2 linked regions of the Caenorhabditis elegans genome follow. The protein of the gene in region 1 interacts with the protein of each later gene in a pairwise test. Each region holds a gene or a part of one and is shown in the gene's direction. Other genes may lie near its edges.

What was found.
Region 2: the proteins of C50E3.5 (region 1) and eif-2Bdelta interact in a two-hybrid assay, tested with the Caenorhabditis elegans proteins (one large-scale study listed by BioGRID).

What each region holds. Positions count from the first base shown.
Region 1 is NC_003283.11:7,585,842-7,589,596, forward strand, and holds the start of C50E3.5 (SpoU_methylase domain-containing protein), read left to right. Parts: upstream 1-2,154; 5' UTR 2,155-2,156; coding exon 2,157-2,225; intron 2,226-2,272; coding exon 2,273-2,689; exon of another isoform or gene 2,690-2,718; coding exon of another isoform or gene 2,719-2,870; intron 2,871-2,915; coding exon of another isoform or gene 2,916-3,043; intron 3,044-3,086; coding exon of another isoform or gene 3,087-3,195; intron 3,196-3,364; coding exon of another isoform or gene 3,365-3,455; intron 3,456-3,543; coding exon of another isoform or gene 3,544-3,755. Other genes in the region: F19F10.11 (Lin-15A/B-like domain-containing protein), read right to left, coding at 1-262, 934-1,008, 1,055-1,180, 1,257-1,355, 1,404-1,502, 1,548-1,651, 1,701-1,757; C50E3.6 (Ig-like domain-containing protein), read right to left, coding at 2,719-2,870, 2,916-3,043, 3,087-3,195, 3,365-3,455, 3,544-3,755.
Region 2 is NC_003283.11:9,512,215-9,515,969, forward strand, and holds the start of eif-2Bdelta (Translation initiation factor eIF2B subunit delta), read left to right. Parts: upstream 1-1,609; 5' UTR 1,610-1,702; coding exon 1,703-1,756; intron 1,757-1,962; coding exon 1,963-2,100; intron 2,101-2,147; coding exon 2,148-2,214; intron 2,215-2,261; coding exon 2,262-2,564; intron 2,565-2,608; coding exon 2,609-2,826; intron 2,827-2,872; coding exon 2,873-3,379; intron 3,380-3,755.

The sequences.
Region 1 (3,755 bases):
GCTCCGCTCCAACTCTTTCACCGTTGGAACCACACTTCCCGGCTCAAAATGTTCGAGCAATTTCTTGAATGAGCTATCCTTGATATTTTCGAACGGAATTCCTTGCGAAATCATAAACTGAGACAAAACTTCACAAGTTCCTGACGTTGGAAGAACTTGTTGTTCATTATCGAGAATTGGTGAACTTCTATTGATTTGCATGGTTATTTTAGCACGTTCTTCCTGGCTTCTCATTGGATACAATAAATCAAGAGATTCCGATCTGCAAAAAAAAAATATTAATTAAAGGTGAAGTAGATTCGATTTGAGATTTTTCTCTAAATCAAGGGCGTCATTTTTCGATTTTTTTAATTTTCCAAAAAAAAATTCTGGACAAGAATTTTTTTTCAGAAAATTGACCCTAAATTCAATTTTTTACTAAATTTTAATTAGGTTCGTGAGAAAAAACATAAATATTTTGTTTTAAAGAAAAAAAATGGCAAAAATTTAAAGTTTTTTGATTGAAAAACAAATTTTTACCGAAATATCGAAAAAAAACTAAAATCGAAAAGCCGCCACCCTTGCTCCAAATCATAGAAAATGGACCCTAATGATAATATATTTTACGATTATTTCAAGTTTGCAAAAATTTGAAAAAGATCTAATTATTTTTGAATTCGTTTTTTTTTCGTTTTCTAGCTAAACTCATAGGTTTTTCTTGGTTTTTTCATCAATATTAGATTTGAAACTCGGTTTGTCAATTTTTTCCGTAAAGAAAATTTGATAACCCGAAAAAATTCGCTGAAAAAATGCATAATTTAACATCATTTTATAATTTTCTTATCGGAAATATGTGTGAAAAAAATCATAAAAAATTTATATAAATTTTTAAATTTTCTTCACAGTCGGTCATTTTTTCTAACTGTTGAGCTATTATTTTTCAAAATTTCTGACCTAAAATCTTCGACAGTTTGAGATGAATGTGGACTTTCGTGAGTGGTGCGAGAGTAGAAGGGAGCTACTTTTTTGCTGAAAAAAAAACAATTTTTTTCTTTCATCTTTGCTTTCAACAAACATTAAATTTTCTATATTTGAATTTTCAATTTGATTCCCAGGTACTGATGGTCGATATTCTGTGAGCCAAGAATTTGATGAAGGCCCTGGATCTTTTCTTGGCCACGGCGTCGCGAAGTTCAGCTTTCTGGAAAAAAGAAGAAAAATTATATTTTAAAAAGCACTTCAGAACAGTTTGAATTAAAAATTTTAGTTTTAAATACCTCCGTTGCTTCACAAAATCGCCCATAATTTTTTCAGTCTGAAAACTGGGCTTCATCGACTGCTCCTTCGGTGGACACGAAGATGGCGCAGCAGTTTTTCTGAAAAAAAAATTTTGTGTAAAAAATTTATTTATTCAATCAATGAACCTTGACATCATGAGATCGTTTTTAGAAATTGTTCGCACAACATCACTAGGACCCGGAAGTTCTTCTCTGGAGAAATTTGAAGTAGAAGCTGTAGAGTTTCTGGAAAATTAGTTTCAAGATTAAATTAAAACAAAATTGTATTACCCAGGAAGCATTGGATCATCTGGAACAAGAATCATTTCACCGGGTTTTAATTTGATTTCTTCAGGGAGCTGTTCCCTTTGATCCAAAGGCTCTTGCTTTATAGCCTGCAAAATGTGATTTTAATGAGAATTCTGAACTTGCTTATTTGTTTACCTGAAGCGCTGCTTCTGTGATTCCACCATTTTGTTCATTTTTCTTAGAAAACGGCATTTGGAAACCGTAATTTGTACAAAACTAGCACCTAAGCATTGATACTATGCTAGACACACTGTTTTTCGGGTTGAATACTTAGTTTTATGTACAGATTTACCTGAAAATTCATCTGGTTAAATTAAAAATTTAATTAAAAAGACAAGAAAAGGAAAAATTGCAAATATATTAAATATTCATCGCAAAAAAATGAAATGGGAAAAAAATAAAAACAAAAAATTGCGGTGGAGCGCATTTGCGTTTCCTTTTTCGCCTGCGTCTCTCGAAATCTGCACACGATTTGGAAACTCTCGCTTTTCATTTTGTAACATTTTTTTTCAATTTCAATTTTCAAAAGTTGCTTTTTTGTTCATAATAGCCTAATCTTCCAAAATAAAATAATAATCTAGTTTTTCAGAAATGCGAATATGGAATCGAATTCGATGCATTTCCACAATTCGAAAAAATCCTACATGTCAAGATGTAAAGGTTTGAAATCTAAATTTTTTGCCAAATTTTAAATAAATGATTTTCAGGCACCTCTCGTGAGCTCTCAAGTATTTGATCCCGATGTCTGGTCGTGGAATTCTGCTCCAGAATCGTCCCTGGATTTACCCATCGATTCTTCTCCAAATTTCTCGATGCCCCCCGCAACATCTTCCGAGACAGAATTCGCAGAAAACGAAGAATCAACTAGCTCGTCAGACGATAAAAAGAAGCGTTCCGAAGTAATCGAAGAAAATCGATCCGACGGACATGCTCCCATCAAATCAGCACTGTCAATTCTGATGCGATCACTTCAAAAATCATCGTCAATGACAACCTCACTATCGGATATTGATGTCACACTTTTCAATTTTCATTCCACAAAATTCGCCGAACGTCTTCTGAATCGCAACGTGTCAAGTGTGGTAATCGTGGAATCATCTCATGTTTTCTCGAAAAATGCAAAGGTAAGTTACCCATATTTATTTATTGTTTTTCACAAAAACAAGTAAAAAGTGGCAAAAAATAGCGAACAAAAAGTGAGATATGCTCGTTTACTGTTTCCTTCATTGTAGTAATAATGTGCACTCCGCGCACGCGCTCGTGTGTTCATCAAATTCTGGTAGTACATGTCGTCGGTTGACATATCTGAAATTTAACAATAATCTCAAGTTGTGTGTAGACCCTTCTCACCGAGTTCATAATCAATCTGAGCATCGAATAATCGTTCCAACTCTCGATGTCTGATTGGCTTGTGATGATGCCGAAGCGCTCCGTCGGTTCGAGCAAAAATCACATTTGTAGAAATTTCTTCGGATTTTCTAAAAGGAGCAGGTCTTCAAAAATTCACTATATTAAGCTTACCGTGTCATATAGACGTTGTCATCAGAGTTTCGAGAAAATGATGCCACGTTGTGATGCAAGTGATCCGACGATCTATCTCCTCGTTTTTGTAGAAGAATCGGAGATGATTCTGAATATTTAATACCGTAACTTGACAAAACCTTTTGATATTTCCGAAATTTAAACTCATTGAGATTACCTTAAATGAAGTTATTCCTATAAGTTAAAAAGATCATTTTAGAGATTTCACTTCTCAACAATACGTCTCTATTAATTTGGATTGATTATGAATAGCCCACCTTTCCCTACATTAGCGAATTCTACATTCTCTTTCTCCTCAACTCTTGGTTCTTCCTCCTTTTCCGTCATCTTCTCCGGCTTTTCCTCTATCTGAAACTCAGATCATTTCATTTATTCGCATCGCCGCTTCTCTTCCACTTATAATCTAATATCTTCTCGTAATAGTTATACTACTAACCCGAGAAAGCAACGCAATGTCCTCCTTCTTTGTCTTCGTTCTCATTTCTTGACGAGTCTCTTTCCGTACTCCGATCTCGCCTGCCTTGATACGACGACGGCTGGTTAGAGTGTGAGATTTCCCGTTTTCCTGGCGAACGGTGACGTGACACTGCCATGCTCCACTATCGGAAGACCAAAGAACTGGCGAGATTTCCATTGAAAAGTCTCCAG
Region 2 (3,755 bases), 1.9 Mb from region 1:
TTGTTTTCTGAAAAAAAAAACTTCTAAATGCATGTTTCATCGTATTTATTTTAATATTGAATTAAGGCAGGGTTGGCTTAATTTATTGAGTAATGAAAAACTTTTTAAAACTTCAATGTTTCCAATTTTAGATCTCTGTTATATATGTTCTCTGACTATCAAAAATTAGTTTACTGAACTTAAATGTCTATGTGATTTAGAATTGACACTCTAAATTTCACCTGTTTGTATTCTTGCTCAAAACTCAAAAGGTCATTATGATTTTAGTCACTTAATTGGTCAACTTTTAATATGTAAGATTCTAATGTGTAGATTTTGTGAAAATAAACGAATAAATCAGGGATATATTGTTCTTGTTTCGGATTCTCAATTGCACTGTTTGCTGGACACTTTTTTACCGTTACGGTACAGTTAACACGTGAGCATTGACACATTTTCAAAGTGTTTAGTGTGCACTTTTTTTCAGAAACTTCCGTCGAAAATATCATTCGGGAGTTGGCCAGCTTCTCCCATACTGGTTCCCAATTGTATGCAGCATTCTATGGGGATTCATTTGCTTTTACTGTTATGGAGAAACTTCGGAGAGAAGATCATTTTTTAGGTGAGAATCATGGTTGACTGTGTTCTAAAATAAGTATTATTCAGGGCTAATCTACTTGAAAACTATCGTATTGATATCGACGATTATGCATATATGAGTGCAAATTTTTGGCCTTTAGATAAATTTGGAAATACAGCTCCTGATGTAAAATCATTCACAGGGGTCGTCGTGATACTGATCATTGTGGTAAATAATACGGATTAAGAAAAAAACAACTAAATTTTCCAGGGATCTTCATTTTGTAGCGTGCTCTTTTTTGGTATAAAATGCTATAGGTGTATATCTAAAAAATTGAAGAGCACTGGTATTATATCTGAAACTTCGAGAGCCCTTCAGAACCAGTTACTCCAGGCACTTGTCGTTCAAACGGCCATACCATTACTTCTCATGTATGTACCCGCCGGAGTATTTTTCACAGCTCCAATGCTGAATATCGAATTGAATTTGAAACATCCTATAATTGGGCATGCTGTTGCTTTGTATCCGGTTTTGGATCCGCTTCCAACTATTATTATTATCAAATCTTATCGACAGGGATGCATCGAGACTGTTAAGAAAATTATTTGTTGTGGACAGAACATGCCTATTGTAAGATGGATTAACCGACAGGAGAATAACGTTAATCCTATAAGTTACACGATGAGCAACTGAGTATTCGGCTTTTTTTTAAAGATTTCCTGACACGAGTCAGTATTGACAAGTATATAATCTTTTTAATTTCAAAATAGTATTTTTTAGTTCAGTTATTTTGAATTCTTGAATAAAATGCATGCATTGTTGTTATTGTTGGAATTAGTGCTTAGAATTTGCATTGTGGCACTACGCATAGCATCAAAATGTTTAATACTTTCATTTAAAGAATATTTAATGATTTCCTGTTACAAGAATTGAAATTTCTTCTCTAAATTAAATTAATTTGTCGATTTCCAAAAATACAACAAAAAAATAAATCAACGCGCACATAATGCGCCAACAGAGATTGCTGACGTACTTTTCGTGCATGACGCGTTTCTCGTGTTTCATTTCAAGCGTTCGGACACCAGCTTTTATTCTCTTTATTTTAATATTTTCTTGTAGTTTCGTCTGTAAATATTCGTTTAAATGAGCGATAAAAATATTAATACTGACAAAAAGCATCCTGCTGATAAATTAAAGGTTTGATTTTTTATTGTGAAATTGTGTTTTCAACGCTTTACTCAATTTTTGTTGCACTTGAGAATTTTTTGGGTTTCGTCGTCCTGAAAGTTTCTGCCGCCGCGAACGAACTTCACAATAATCTTCATTTCAAAGTACTAACAATCTATCTCATTTTATCTATGTCGTTAACTCAGAAACCATTAGACTTTGCATCAATATTTCAGGAAACTTTCGAAAAGCTGAACAACGAAGTAAAGTTACTTGGAATGATTCTCGGAGTAAAAAGTGAAAATAACCAGCAAGTGGTTCCGCCAACAACTGCAGAAGAGCCAGCTCAAGGTGAAGACAAAAATCAGTATCACGTAAGTGTTTCATAAGAATTTTAAGCAATAAATCTAATAATTTTCAGAAAGACGTGACTGCTGAAGATAAAAAAGCGAGAAAAGCAGCCAAGGCAGCTGAGAAAAAAGCGAGAGGTATCTTATTTATCTTTTTTTCCTAAAAAATAAATTAATTTTTTCAGCTGAAAAATCTGTAGCCAATAAAGCCGCCGCCGCCGCTGGGAGCACTCAAAATCAAGGGCAAAAGAAGGAAAAACCGCCAAAAGAGCATTCAGCAGTTCCATCTGAATCCACTACTAAACTTATCGAAGAAAATGCACAGCTCACGAAAACCACAGAACAGCTTGCAGCGAAAATGGAAACCTTGGTGATTGAAGATGTGAAGATTAATGGAAGTCTAAAGCCGGCGATAAAGAAATCTACTGGTGTTGAGAAAAATGTTCGACATGTTCATAACGTTATAATGCCTTCTGTGGTCACATTTGGTGAGTTTTTGATAATTTAATTTATTAGATTTGTTCTTTTGAAGATCTTCCAAAAAATCAAACGAAAACGTTGCCGTCTGCATCTGATTCTGACGAAGCAGTAGCATCAGAAATTGAATCAACAGCAATCGCCCAATTGGATGATGCGACGTCTTTTGTACACATTCATCCTGCATTCTTAACGCTTATGGCTAAAGCAGAATTGGAAAAAATTCCAGATGTTGAAACAGTTTGTATTCAATTTATTGCTGCTTTCAAAGAGGTAAAATATTATTTTTCAATCAAACTGTATAATTATTTTATTTTAGTTTCTGCGAGATTGGACAGTAGAACGAGAAAAGAATAATATCAATGCTTCCACATTCGGTCACGACCTCGATTTGGCTATTCGTCCACAACTTGCTCATATGACTCAAAATGGTCACTGGCCATTGCCATTTGCACTTGGGAATACAGTTCGATTGTTGAAAAGAACAATCAAACGACTTGAGGAAAGCACTAATATGAAGTGTGAAGAAGAATTACAAGTTTATCTGGAAGATACTTTGGCTATAAATTTCTGTCACGCGTACAAAGCCATCAGTCAACTGCTTGTTCGCAAAATTCAACAATTCAAAAAAGTTGTCGTGTTCGATTGGTGTCCTGTTGTGAATCATGTTCTTCTGGAAGCCAAACAACAAATTCCTGATATGCAATTGTCTGTTATTGATGCAAATTCCAATGGACGAGGTACGCGGCATGTGAAGAGTTTCGTAGATCAAGGATATAATGTCAAATACGTCACAATGAAAGGAGCTTCATGGGCGTCCCTGGCAGTGAGTTTTTTTTTAAAGCAGTATCGGTTCTAAGTGGTCTCAAATGCCAAAAAGAGCATTAAATTTGAAAAAAAAAGACAGACGATTTTTAAATTTTTGCTAATCTCCTAATTTGAATTGTCTCGCTTTTGTCTCTAAACTCCCCCAATAGAATCGAATTTTTCCAATTTCGACGAAACTTCTTTTTTTTTTTGCGGTTTTTTTCTGAATTTTAATAAGAAAACGATCATAAATATTAAAAAATATTTTTCGTATTTTTAAAGAACAAAAAATAACGTGTTTCTTGTAGAATCTCCGAAGGGTTAAATATTTTTTAATTACATTTTTTTTTGATATGAAAAATTTTTTTGGACATTTATTATATTTAAAATTTAGA